Linked DNA regions of Saccharomyces cerevisiae S288C. Changing the gene in region 1 together with any one later gene gives a genetic interaction. Each region holds a gene or a part of one and is shown in the gene's direction. Other genes may lie near its edges. The genes, in order: YMR1, AZF1 and ARF3.

Region 1 (4,815 bases):
TAGTTTTCTTGCCTTGATCTCTTAATGTCTTCGCGGTGTTCACGGCACACCAATCAAATTCTACAGATGAACCAATACGATAGACACCAGAGCCTAAAACCAGCATACCATTTTCGTTGAACTCCACATCGTTCTTTGTAGCATTGTAAGTGGTATACAAATAATTGGTTTGTGCTGGAAATTCTGCGGCCAAAGTATCGATTCTCTTGACAAAAGGGATTATACCTAACGTTTTTCTTAAACTTCTGATTTCCAGTTCGTTAATGTTTGTGGAGGCGTGTTTATTTATAGTAACCGCAATCTGCTTATCTGAAAACCCTAATTTCTTGGCTCTCTGCAAGAGATCTTTACTCAAGTCACTTAAAGATTTAACTGATTCAAGCTCTTTATAGATATTAACAATGTTCATGCACTTGTAAAGAAACCATTTATCAATTTTACTCAATTCATTAACTCTCTCAACAGTATAGTTTTCATGGATTAAGGCCTGACCAATGGCAAGGACTCTTCTATCAGTTGGAGTTCTCAAGGCTTCATCAAGTTGATCGCCGAATTCAGTAGAACCTTGGAATCCCAATAATGATGGATCCACCTGTCTTAATGCTTTTTGAAAGGCTTCTTCATAGTTTCTACCAATAGCCATAACTTCTCCAACTGATTTCATAGAGGAACCAATGGATCTGTCCACGTATTGGAACTTAGAAAGATCCCACTTAGGTATTTTTGCCACAATATAATCCAAAGATGGCTCAAAGTTAGCCACTGTAGTTTTTGTGATTGGGTTTGGCAATTCTGGCAAAGTATAGCCTAGCCCAATTTTGGCGGCAGTGTATGCTAAGGGATAACCAGTGGCCTTAGACGCCAATGCAGAGGAACGAGATAAACGTGCGTTCACTTCAATAACTCTATAGTCTAGCCCATCAGGTTGCAAAGCGTATTGGACATTACATTCACCAATAACACCAAGGTGTCTAATGATTTTAATTGCGGCGGATCTTAACATATGAAACTCTTCATCTGATAGGGTCTGCGAAGGAGCAAAAACCATAGAATCACCAGTATGAACACCAAGTGGGTCGAAATTTTCCATATTACATACTGTAATACAGTTACCAACCCTATCTCTGACCACTTCATATTCAACTTCTTTCCAACCTTTCAAAGATTTTTCAACAAGAATTTGTGGGGCCAACGACAAGGACTGTGCGGCAAGTTCCTTCATTTCACTTGCATTGTTAGCGAAACCTGAGCCTAACCCACCCAAAGCGTATGCAGATCTGACAATAACTGGGTATTTGACCCTTTCAGCAGCCTCCAAAGCTTCATCCACGGTTTCACAAGCAAATGATTCTGCGATGGGAATGTTGATATCCTTTAACGCAGATGCGAAAAGATCCCTATCTTCAGAAGTGATCAAAGTTTTGATAGGAGTACCTAAAACTTTGACGTTGTATTTAGCCAAAACACCAGATTCATCCAGAGCCACCCCACAATTTAGACCTGTTTGACCACCGAAGGTTAAAAGTATAGCATCCGGCCTTTCAAGTTCAATGATATATGTGATGTATTCTGGTGTAACGGGCAAGTAATAAATCTTGTCCGCCAGGGAATGAGAAGTCTGGTTAGTAGCGATATTTGGGTTAACCAATATAGTAAACTTGTTATCTTCCTTCAGAGCTTTGATAGCTTGAGAACCACTGTAATCGAATTCACCAGCTTGACCAATAGAGAGCCCTCCTGATCCAATGACAAGTACAGAATTTACTCCTTCAACTAATTGAGGTTTGTAGTCCTCGGTAGTAAAAGCAGAATTCGTAGGCTCTGTTGATGTATAAATCGATGTCATTCTTTTCTTCCTGTCTATGTACTGTATTGCTCTTCCTTTATAGAACTAATTTTAACTATAGATGTTAGTTTTTCGATGCTTAAACTTAAATAGCGCTTCAAAAAAGAGATAAGGCATACTATAGAAGACGTATTAGTAATTATATATATACAAATAGCATGGCAGAAATGCTTATGACGGAAAAAAAAAGATTGGATTTTCTCGATGCTTACTCAAGGTGACACAATCGTTACGACATGGAGGTTCCTATCTCTGATATTCAAAAGTTATTGCCATCTCATCAATAAGAGTCATTCACAATAATCTATAGAATGCCGCAGGAAAGAAGACAGTGGTGGATGAGTCATTTTCTCAACCCTAGTTTACAATCTGAATGTTTAGGGGATTTACTATTTTTAATTAGGACATTTGAATATTTCTGATAGGGTAAAATCACTTTTTAGGGTTTCTGATTTTCTATTTTCCTCATTTTTCACAATAATAACAATGTTGCCATTCTTTTATCACTACCCTAAATGTACCAAATATTAGTAAGAAAAGAAACATTATAAAGAAAAGGAGGTTTTACAAGGGTCACTTGGTGAGATTAGGTCGTCGTTATTATTTTTATTTTGTGGGCGGGGTGTAATAGTGCTAAAAAGAGGGAAAAGAAATAGTATACCATTCCGCAAAGATGGAGTACATCAAGATTGCCAAAGTATCTAATGTAGTGCTGCATAGAAGAGGTACGGCCACACAAGGTACTTTACATTTGACTACTCACCATTTGATCTTTGAGTCACCACAATTGTCGACGGAATTTTGGTTTCCATATCCTTTGATCTATGGAGTGCATAAAAACCCGGGTAGTACATTACTGTCCAAGTTGACTTCCACTAATCAAATCCAATTGGAGGGAACGGATTCACAGAATTACAAGCTTTACCAGGGTAAGGATCTATGGTCTTTTGTAAATATCAAGGTAATTGGGAAAGATTATGCGGTATTCTCATTGGATTTCGGTGGTGATTTACATCTACAGGCAAGAAAGGTGTATGATTCCATCTTAAATTTGACGGTCCTGTCCAATATCACGCAACTATATGCATTTATTTACATATCCAACAATCTGGAAAGGAAACTACCTTCACCCGATAGCTGGGATATATATGACCCAATTAAGGAATTTCGAAGGCAGGGCCTCGACAGTAAAGATGAAACATGTCCTTGGAGGCTATCCACGGTAAACGAACACTATGAATTTTGTCCAACGTATCCCTCAAAACTTTTTGTACCAAGATCCACGTCAGATATATTATTGAAGCATGCTTCGAAGTTTAGATCACAGAAAAGAATTCCTGTTTTAACTTATCATCACAAGGCAACAGATTGCAACATTCTTAGGTCATCTCAACCATTACCGGGGTTGATCAATCAGAGGTCCATTCAAGATGAAAAATTAGTTTGGGAAAGCTTCAACTCATTTTGTAATAAAGATATTAGAAGAACGAAACATGTAATAGTAGATGCCAGACCCAGAACAAATGCATTAGCACAGATGGCGTTGGGTGGCGGGACAGAAAATATGGATAATTATAATTTTTTTTTAGCTGATAACAATATGGGTGTCGATAAAAGTCTAAAACTGCCCACAGTTACACGGTTATTTCTTGGTATAGATAACATTCATATTGTTTCCAACACAGCTGCATACATGACGGAAGTTATCTGCCAAGGTGGCGATTTGAATTTACCACTGGAACAGAATTTAATTAGGAGTCAAAAATTTTCCAATTGGTTGAAGTTGAACACTCTTATTTTAAAATCCGTTGATATGCTTTTAAAGTCCATCATTTTCAATCATTCCAACGTTTTGGTTCATTGTTCTGACGGTTGGGACAGAACCAGTCAAGTTGTATCACTATTAGAAATTTGTTTGGATCCTTTCTATAGAACTTTTGAAGGTTTTATGATCCTAGTGGAAAAAGATTGGTGCTCTTTTGGTCACCGGTTTTTGGAAAGAAGTGGTCATTTAAACTCTGATATTAGATTTCATGATAACACTATGCATTCCAACTTCAACGATGTGGATACCAATGGCGATGATCTTGACATAGGTGTTAACACTCAAGACGATTATGCTGAAGATGATGAAGGAGGTGAAGATGAGACGAATTTAATTAATTTGAGTAGAATTTCCAAAAAATTTAACGAAAACTTTAAATTGAACAAGAAAAGTCTAAAGTTCGTCTCCCCAGTTTTCCAACAATTTTTAGACTGTGTATACCAACTTTTGACGCAAAACCCAGATCTATTTGAATTCAACGAAAGATTTTTAAGAAGACTAGTTTACCACTTGTATTCATGCCAATATGGAACATTCCTTTCCAATAGCGAGAAGGAGAAATTTCAACAGAATTTGCCAAACAAGACTAAAAGTGTCTGGGACTACTTCAGATCTAGAAGAAAGCAGTTCATAAATCCAAATTTCATACAGAGAAAAAGAAGCGGCATGAATGAGCACGATCAAAACCTTGAAGAGGAAGAAAAAGTGGAGTGGATTTCGCCGGATCTGAAGAAAGTCCAATGGTGGTGGCAGTTATATGGAAGAAAAGATTCAGAAATGAATGATGAATTACGCCATAAACGAGACTCAGTACCCATATCGGTGGATAAAAAGAGTAAAGAGCATAGTAATTCCGATGGCGGTAAGGGTTTAAATTTGTCAATTTTTGGATTTGATATGTTTAATAGAAAGTGATCTGGTTAACGGCAAAGAAGACAAATAAGTGAGTTAGTATTTTGCATACAATGATAGAAGTATAGAAAAGTTCAAGCATTTCTCCGTTGTTAGTATACATATATATATATTAATTTTAATGAATAAGGGTACATATATTATGAGCATAACGAGTGGCCGATCGGCAAAGGGGCTTACAATTTTACAACACCAGATTTCCAACTAACACCACACCACTGAGATATTAGTA
Region 2 (4,815 bases), on another chromosome or scaffold:
GACTTTAATTAAATGGTACGGCAGAGAAAACTTTGAATTGGTACCATTCCGAGATGAAACCAAGGTATACTTTGATAACAAAATACCTTTGAGAATATTGGAAGAATATGTAGAAAGCGGAGATGGGCTGGAGGTTGGCGGTGGATTTAAAATACAAGGGCAAGGTGCTATTCTAATTGAAAAAATTGAAGGTGATTACTATAACGTAGTTGGTTTACCGCTCAATAAAACGTTCAAAGGACTCTATGCTGAGGCTAATTCCATATAACCTTCGTTTAGGTTTTCTTTGGTGTTGCTCAGTTAACTATGTTAATCTTTGCAACACCAGAAGAATGAGTGGAACGGATATTAAAGGCCACATTGGTGAATAGATACATGCGCTAAATAACACGGCTATTAACATTCTACGAGACAGTTTTTCGATTGATGGTAAAGAAAGTTTAAAGCAATACGCATTTTGAATTTCACGCTTTCGCGCACATCTTCTATTTTTTTCACCTTCAAAAAGGCCCTTTCTCTTTGTCTGTTTATATTATGATTATATTAAATATAAGTATCTTAAAAACAATAATATCGTCAAGTTATTTAGTCGAGAGTTTGACACTGTTACTATCGTTGCTTTTATTGGTGAACAAGTATCTGTAAGTGATGAATTTTTCCAGCATTTTCAAATCTATTTCGAATTTCCAGTTCCCATACACCATAGAGGAAACTGCAATCACTGAAACCGCCCTTTGGCAATGTTTCGATGGTACAAGGAAGGCAGATTCCTTGCCAGTAACAGTTTTTAAGGCAAAAAGATCTCCAGAAAATGAATCTTTAATTTTAAATGCTGTACACAAGAGCAAAATTTTGAAGATTCCAGGACTTTGTACGGTGCTGGAGACATTTGATTCCGACCCCCAATCCACATTTATTGTTACCGAACGAGTAGTTCCATTTCCTTGGGATAATCTAGGCTCTTTATCTCAAAACAAATTTGGTGTTGAATTAGGAATATCACAATTATTGGCAACTTTAGGATTTTTAAAAAACTTTGTCCTTGGTACGCTTTCTAAAGATTCTGTTTTTATCAATATTAAGGGAGAGTGGGTACTATTTGGGCTAGAACTTTGTTCAAGCAAAGAAGGATTAAGTGCGTTTGAATTTGCCAGTAGAGCGAGGTCATATTACAACATAATTGGCTCACAGTTGCCCTGTGAAGATCCGAATACAATTGATTCAATGGGGTTAGGATTGTTGATAAAGAGCCTTATGGCTCCTTCTTGTCTGCCCAAAGATTGGATTGTCAATGTAAATATGATTTCAGATGGAAAGATAACAATCGAAAACTTCAGAAAAAGGCTAGAAAATACAGAAACTTGGCGTTCTAATCCTTTGATAAACTTTTATCAAGAATTGAGGGAGTTGCATATAAAGGACCCACAGGGAAAATTGGTTGTGATGTCAAACTTGGAAAATTTGTATTTAGAGTCAAGAGAGATTTTCCGTAATTTAACGCCTGGAATGATAGAAAATTTTATTATTCCAGAGCTTTGTGAAATTATAAAATTATTAATGACACAAAGCATCAGTAGTGCTGCCAGCCCTATAGGCATGAACTTCAACGCATCACATAAACTAGTACCATTCTTAGCGATTGTTTTAGACCTAACTTCTGAAACGAACACCTTTCCAGTTGGTTTCAACGACCTTATCACCCAAAGTTTTAAACTGCCAGATAGGCAAGTAAGATTTCTTTTACTAATATACCTACCCAAATTAATAGGTCCATTGAGCAAATCAGAGATCTCCAGTAGGATATATCCACATTTTATCCAAGGTCTGACCGACTCTGATGCCACTCTTAGATTACAAACACTGAAGACAATTCCATGCATTGTGTCATGTTTAACAGAGAGACAACTGAATAATGAGCTACTGAGGTTTCTCGCAAAAACACAGGTTGATTCTGACGTTGAAATCCGAACATGGACAGTCATCATAATAAGTAAAATCTCAACCATATTATCAACGTCAGTTGGTAATCGCTCGAATATTTTAGCTACGGCGTTCACAAAATCTTTGAAAGATCCTCAAGTAAAACCAAGATTGGCTGCTCTTTATGGGCTTGAGAAGTCGATTGAGCTGTTTGATGTGAACACAATCGCCAACAAAATTTTAACAGTCATTGCCCCTGGTTTATTAGATAAAAGTCCCATAGTAAGAGGCAGAGCCAAAATCCTGTTCGAAGAATATCTGGAAAAATTGGAAAAAGAAGCCCAACTTATTCAAACAAACGATAGTACTGCAGATTCGGAAGATGTGAAAGATATTGATTTTGAGAATTACGGTTGTGATGAAGAGGATATGAATAAAGAAGACAATTTGTTAGCCGCACAATTTTTAAATAATTTACGTTTAAATTCTCCCTCAGCAACAACACCAAGTAACATTACCGAGAGCGAAATTGATTCCGCCCAGGATGGAAGTGGATGGGACGACCTCAGCGATACCGATGGCTTTATTACAAATGGTACCACAGAATCCTTCGATGAAACAACAAACCCTGTAACAACCGCAAGCACCCCAAAATTATTCGGAAAACCTATTAAAATTAATAAAAGTTGGAATGATGAGTTGAATGATGATGGCTGGATTCAAGATGAAAGCGGCCCATCAAAGGTGCCTCAAAAACACACAAGGCCACAAAATTCAACGTTGGCAAAATCCATCGCTCCTAGCTCAAGGCTTTCTATCAAGAAGAAGAAAACAACGATCCTAGCACCAAGAAACATTGCTAGTAACTCTACTGTTACCACCAAATCGTCACTGTCCAATAAAACTGCAAGAAGTAAGCCTATAAGTAGTATCCGCGGCTCGGTAACCAAGAAAGGAAATGTTGACGGCTGGGATGATGATGGGGATTCAGACTCCTGGGATACGAATTGGTGATCCCAAGACTTATATAGCCCTACGTATTGTAGAAGGATATATTCAGTGTTAATCGTTATTTAGAAACATTACGCCCGTGCCCCGCGATTTCGCTTCTTTGAGAAGTGGAGGAAAAGAAGGGTCCCTTTAATTCCAGTAGAAATGAAGCATAAGCAAGAAGAGTCATCAGAAAAGGGAACCTTGTAGTACTATAGATGGTCCCACAGAGAAATTAATTGGGACAAAAACAGCTACACAAGCGATATACTTCAAAAGATTCAGATATTGAAAAATTACCAGCCATGCCTCCTCCAACTGCACAGTTCATGGGCCCTACGCAGGCGGGACAAAATGAAAGCCAAAATCAATCATCAGGCGAAGCTGGGGAGCAAAACCAGGAGCATGGGCAAGGCCCTACTCCTATTCTTAATCAAAGTCAACCGGCTTCTTCTCAACCGCAACATCAACAACAAAGGAATGAGTCGATTTCATATTATACAAATTTCAACCAGCCACGATATTCCACGGACGCCTCTATCAACTCATTCTTGAACATATCTGATAACGTACCAGTAACAAGTACAGGAGGACCTAGTTCTGGCGGCGCCTATTCCAATCTTCCACGATTATCCACTTCAAGTACACATCAACCGCCAGACCTGTCGCAAATCGGACGCGGCTTTTCCATTGTAAACAACCTCTTCCCACAACAACAGCAGCTTCAAAATCAGCATCGGCAACAGCAGCAACAACAACAACAGCAGTCGCACCAGCAGCCTCCCTTCAAGACCCCTTCATTTTCGACGGGATTAACGGGAAGTTCTTCTCAATATCAATTTTTACCAAGAAATGATAATACTTCGCAGCCACCTTCAAAAAGAAACTCTGTTTATCTTGGACCTAATGATGGGCCTGATTTTGAATTTTTCAGTATGCAGCAGTCACAGCAACCGCAGTTCCAGCCTAGCAGTAGAAGAGAATCAAACTCTATGAGACCTCCACTGTTAATACCTGCAGCAACTACTAAAAGCCAGTCCAATGGCACCAATAATAGTGGGAATATGAACACAAATGCAGATTATGAATCATTTTTTAATACTGGTACAAACAACAGTAATTCTAATCAGAACCCGTACTTTTTGAGTTCAAGAAATAATTCTTTGAAGTTTAATCCTGAAGATTTCGATTTTCAATTCAAAAGGCGGAATTCTTTTGTTAGAGGTACTTTGGACCATAGCAGCCAAAATGCGTTTATACCTGAATCAAGATTAAACTCACTATCCGTTAACAACAAAGCTAATGGTGATCCTGTCGCGGATAATGTTACCAATAACATGAAAGGAAAAAGTAATGAAGTTGACAATGATGATGGCAATGACAGTAGCAATAACAATAACAACAACAACAACAACAACAACAATGAAAACAACAATGACAACAATAATGATAATAACGACAATAGTATTAATTCCGCCACCAGTACTAATATCCCAAACCAAGAGGACCATAGCCTTGCTTCTACCGATACCACAAGCAATAGTAGGAAAGATCTAAAAGAAATAGAACAAAGACTTCGAAAACATTTGAATGATGAGGATAATTACTCTAGTGCTATATCAAGACCATTGGATAAAAACGACGTAATTGAAGGCAGTGAGGGATTGAACAAACATATAGACGAGTCTGGTATGCAACCTAATATTATCAAGAAAAGGAAAAAGGATGATTCTACTGTGTACGTCAAGAATGAGATGCCCCGTACTGATCCCCCGATGAGTAAAGACAATTCTACTTCTGCTGAAGGAGCAGCAATGGCAAACTTTTCTGGTAAAGAACCTCCTATACCTGACATAAGTTCAGTAAGTGATGATGCTACTAACCTGATAGGTGCAACAAAGGTCG
Region 3 (4,267 bases), on another chromosome or scaffold:
TTTTTTGGCATAAAGAAGGTTTGATGTGTGAGCCCAGTTAGGTAATCTGATTAATCTATTCTGTAAAAACATATCTTCTATGAGTGAAAGCACGTATATCTTTCCGTTATGAACAAACCCCATAAGCTTGGTTCTCATAAAGTAGGTATTTGCAGGACAAATATTCAGAATGGTATCCAATTGTTCAGTAACTGCTTGCGATTTTTCGTTAGTAGGCATTTCATACTTTGCCCAAGAAAACATTTCGGAGTAATTTAGTTTTGCTTTGAACACAAATTCGTTCACTTTATCCATCTGGTAAAATTCGTCGGTGATGTGGTTAGAAGAGATCCATATTTCTCCAACAGTGAGGTCTTGCACCAACGTATTCGTATCTGGATTAACCACACATAAAGTGATATCAGGAATTGGGAAGCCAAATGTTTCTAATTTAAGATAATCTTTGAAGGAGCTTGATGAATTAATCATAGCAGTTATGCTACATTCAACCTCATTAAGCTTCAATTTCTCGCGGTTTATAAACAATTCATTTTGAAGCCTTAGTTTTGAATTATGTATTGGAAAGTTCTCTAGGTTTCCTAATTGATCTCTTATAGATATAAAGATACCACCAAAGTCCAATAACGTTAACATGGGAGAATAACAAAATGGTGCATCAATACATCCTAAATTTTTCAGCCATTTATGAACAACCATCTCGCTTACATCGGTATCTATAGTGGTACATGAGGTTAAACATGACTTGATGCAACTGAAATCTATTTTGTGCTTCTTGGAAAAAGCTGATTCGGGATTTTCCAAATAATTAATAACTACCTGCTTCAATTGTAGCTGATCATTCAGTAAAATGTCGGCTCTAAATTTATCAATGATATTTTCATAGCCCCCAGGTCGTTGTAATATACTACTATCGATAGATATCATAAGATTACCAGTAAAAAGATTGAAAAGCACACCCATTATCAAACCAGTAGATCTAGTAGGGTCCAGACTATTCAAGATAACAAACCTTGAGTTGGTTGCCATAATTTTTTTGTGAAATGGCTTCCTGATGCTTTGTGATTTTTGTTTCCAGTGAGGCATTGATCGTGAGTTTAGAATTTTTGTCATCGTTTCAAATTGGTTTATTAAGATGTTATGCTTCATGACGACGCCAGAAAGACGACCTAGCGGTGTTCTAGTAAACTCTATATATGAAATATTCGGTATATCAAAGGTAGGCGAAGTTTTTTTTGCCTTTGTGTACGTCCCTAAGTCATCAGTCTTGACAAATTTGATTTGCTGGAAAACATCGTTCTTAACCAGTTTAACTTTTGAATGATTTGATGACGAATACAAGTTATCTAATTGTCTATGACATGCGTTAGAAATCAGAACAAATTTCGAATTTGTTACTTTAATTATCTCAAGGATCTCACGCAGAGAATACGTTTCGAATGAGACTGGTACAGCTGCCATGCCGGATATGAAACAGCCTAATAATGCAATAGTAAATTCGATGACATCATTTTTATTGTACCATAGTAAAATCTTATCCATTTTGTAAAGGTGACTCTTATTCAATTCATGTGCTACCCTCTCCGCTTTCAAATAAAGTTTATCCCATGTGATGAACGTTTCTTTGCCTTTAGAATTTATGCTGATCATCGCTGTTTGACCATCATAATGTTCAAAGCGTCCCCGTAAAATTAGCGGTAAAGAATCCGTCATTGCTGAGTCTCCACTGCTAGTATTTTCGGCTCCAGTGTGTCTTGGTAGTAATGGTATCATAGGATTATAAACGGCATCCTTCACTGAACCGTTTTCATCACTGGAACCTGGCAATGACGATTGCAAAGAAGCTGTATATCTCTTGCTCCGCCTTCTGGGAGTATTGTTCGCAGAAGTCGAGTTTATAGTTGTGACACGATAGATAGAATGACGTCTGTCAATTGAATTAGGTAACGACGTAATGGATGATGCAAGACTTGTATTTCTTCTGTGCAAATGTTTCGACTTTCTCGAATTGGGAGATCGAAGCGGGGTATAAGGCCTCATTTGGGAGATTTCAAATTTGTCTAGCAATTGTTTTCTTTTGGTCTCATAACCCTTTCTTGTTAGATTTTCATCCTTATAGTCTTGAATTAACTCATTTAACCGACTTTGCAGATCTAGAGGTAAGGTAGGAGGAATAGAAAAATCCATTGGAGTAACTCAATGCCACACGCTTTTACACAGAACTGAATCACCCTAACACCAAGTTTACGGAAGCAAATGTTAAATCTGTTGAAGCTCTTTTGACTACATTATAAACAGAAATAAAACATACTAGAAAGTAATCGGGTTTTGACGATTTCATCCATTACCCGTCCGAATGATGGCACTTATAAGATAATGAAGATGTACGCAGCATTAAAACCCTATTTGCAGAAGCATAGTAAGACGCAACGTACGCTGAATTAGACTGAGACATTACAGTTGCTTTGACATTGGGAAGATAATTGGGATTTAGAACGGAAAAAAGGAAAAGACAAGCTAATTGTAGAGATGGGCAATTCAATTTCGAAGGTTCTGGGAAAACTATTTGGCTCGAAAGAAATGAAAATTTTGATGCTAGGCCTGGATAAGGCTGGTAAGACAACAATATTGTACAAACTAAAATTAAATAAAATAAAGACGTCTACTCCCACTGTCGGTTTTAACGTGGAAACCGTTACTTATAAAAACGTAAAATTCAACATGTGGGATGTAGGAGGACAACAAAGATTGAGACCTCTCTGGAGACATTATTTTCCAGCCACCACCGCACTTATCTTTGTGATAGATTCTAGTGCTAGAAACCGTATGGAAGAGGCCAAAGAAGAGTTATATAGTATCATAGGTGAGAAAGAGATGGAGAATGTAGTACTGCTGGTATGGGCAAACAAACAAGATTTGAAAGATGCAATGAAACCTCAAGAGGTTTCCGATTTTTTAGAACTGGAGAAAAATTTGAAAAACCAACCTTGGTGTGTCATCGGTAGTAACGCCTTATCCGGACAGGGTCTTGTTGAAGGATTATCCTGGATTTCGAACAACACAAACGTTCCAAAGAAATAAACATTGCATTTATTGGTGTTGAATCTGCATACACCGATTGTTCATCCTTCATTTTTACTGGATTGTACTTTACTAAAAAGAAAACTTCTGGAAAAAAAACAGTATCCAAATAACTAAATAGCTTTAATAATACAATATAAAAAATGGAGACACTGTTGTGAAAAGTCAACCTTTACTACGGTTTCTGTCTTTGCCTTTGATCTGCTCACTTTTCGGTAACTTCAACACTACCGTCAGAATTACCGAAGTAGGCTTTTGAAGCGTTGTCGATGAATAAACCTGTTTCCACCACGCCCACTAACAGTTTGATTTCTCTATGCAATTTTCTTGGATCGGAAATTTCACCGAAATCCGCATCGATAATGAAGTTATTATTGTCAGTTACAACAGGACCTGCTTTAGCAGAACCTCCTTGTCTGATGTCAACTTTTTCAGCATGCAATTGTTCTAATAGATCATTCTTGACCCTCACGTATGAGGAAGGTACAATTTCAATGGGAACACCTTGCCTCCAGTTCTTACCTAAATGTTTTGGTGACTTTTTTCTTGAATCAGCAACGACAATGAAGGTTTTAGCACTAGTACTAACCAATTTTTCTTGAAATAGACAAGCACCACCACCTTTAATTAATTGTAAATTCTCATCCACTTCATCAGCACCGTCAAACGCTATATCAATGCGAGGATACTGTTCAATGGAGCCTAATTGCAACTTGTTATCCAAAATCAAGTTTCTTGATTGGAATCCTGTTGGAATGCAAATGAATTTAGACGCTACTTCATAAAATTTAGGGTCATGCAAATATTGTCCAATTCTTTCGGCAACATAAACCACTGTGCTACCACTACCAATTCCAATAATTTTGTGATCATCAAATTTTAAATTTTCATCAACTGCTCTGTATGCTGCAGCTCTCTTGGCATCCTCCAAAGGATTGCCCAAAGATTCTAACGCATCAATTTTTGGGACACCGGCAGCCATTTCTTTCCTATGTTGTATTTATATGAGGTTGCAGTATGCGGTAACCAAGTTTATGTAACACGATGTTGTTAATTTTCTACAAGAGAAAAGAACGTCCCAGTACAAAGAGAATAAATTGCATGTAATAAATTGAAACAGTTTCACACTGCAACGCAAGCCGTACATATATTATATTATCCAAAGCGTACGTAAACTGACACCCAATTA

The links.
Region 2: of YMR1 (region 1) and AZF1, extra expression of one rescues a mutant of the other (dosage rescue), as found in Saccharomyces cerevisiae (one study listed by BioGRID).
Region 3: of YMR1 (region 1) and ARF3, extra expression of one rescues a mutant of the other (dosage rescue), as found in Saccharomyces cerevisiae (one study listed by BioGRID).

Annotation. Positions count from the first base shown.
Region 1 is NC_001142.9:631,096-635,910, forward strand, and holds YMR1 (phosphatidylinositol-3-phosphatase YMR1), read left to right. Parts: upstream 1-2,519; coding exon 2,520-4,586; downstream 4,587-4,815. Other genes in the region: carbamoyl-phosphate synthase (glutamine-hydrolyzing) CPA2, read right to left, coding at 1-1,846; PXP2 (Pxp2p), read right to left, coding at 4,760-4,815. UniProt on the Saccharomyces cerevisiae protein: Lipid phosphatase which dephosphorylates phosphatidylinositol 3-monophosphate (PI3P). Involved in the control of PI3P-dependent signaling and in the maintenance of endosomal system integrity.
Region 2 is NC_001147.6:530,860-535,674, forward strand, and holds the start of AZF1 (Azf1p), read left to right. Parts: upstream 1-3,215; coding exon 3,216-4,815. Other genes in the region: YOR111W (nucleotide diphosphatase), read left to right, coding at 1-268; COPI-interacting protein CEX1, read left to right, coding at 649-2,934. UniProt on the Saccharomyces cerevisiae protein: Transcription factor involved in the diauxic shift. In the presence of glucose, activates carbon and energy metabolism genes, and in te presence of glycerol-lactate, activates genes needed for cell wall maintenance.
Region 3 is NC_001147.6:500,269-504,535, forward strand, and holds ARF3 (Arf family GTPase ARF3), read left to right. Parts: upstream 1-2,526; coding exon 2,527-3,078; downstream 3,079-4,267. Other genes in the region: CMR2 (Cmr2p), read right to left, coding at 1-2,184; ribose-5-phosphate isomerase RKI1, read right to left, coding at 3,284-4,060. UniProt on the Saccharomyces cerevisiae protein: GTP-binding protein involved in protein trafficking; may modulate vesicle budding and uncoating within the Golgi apparatus.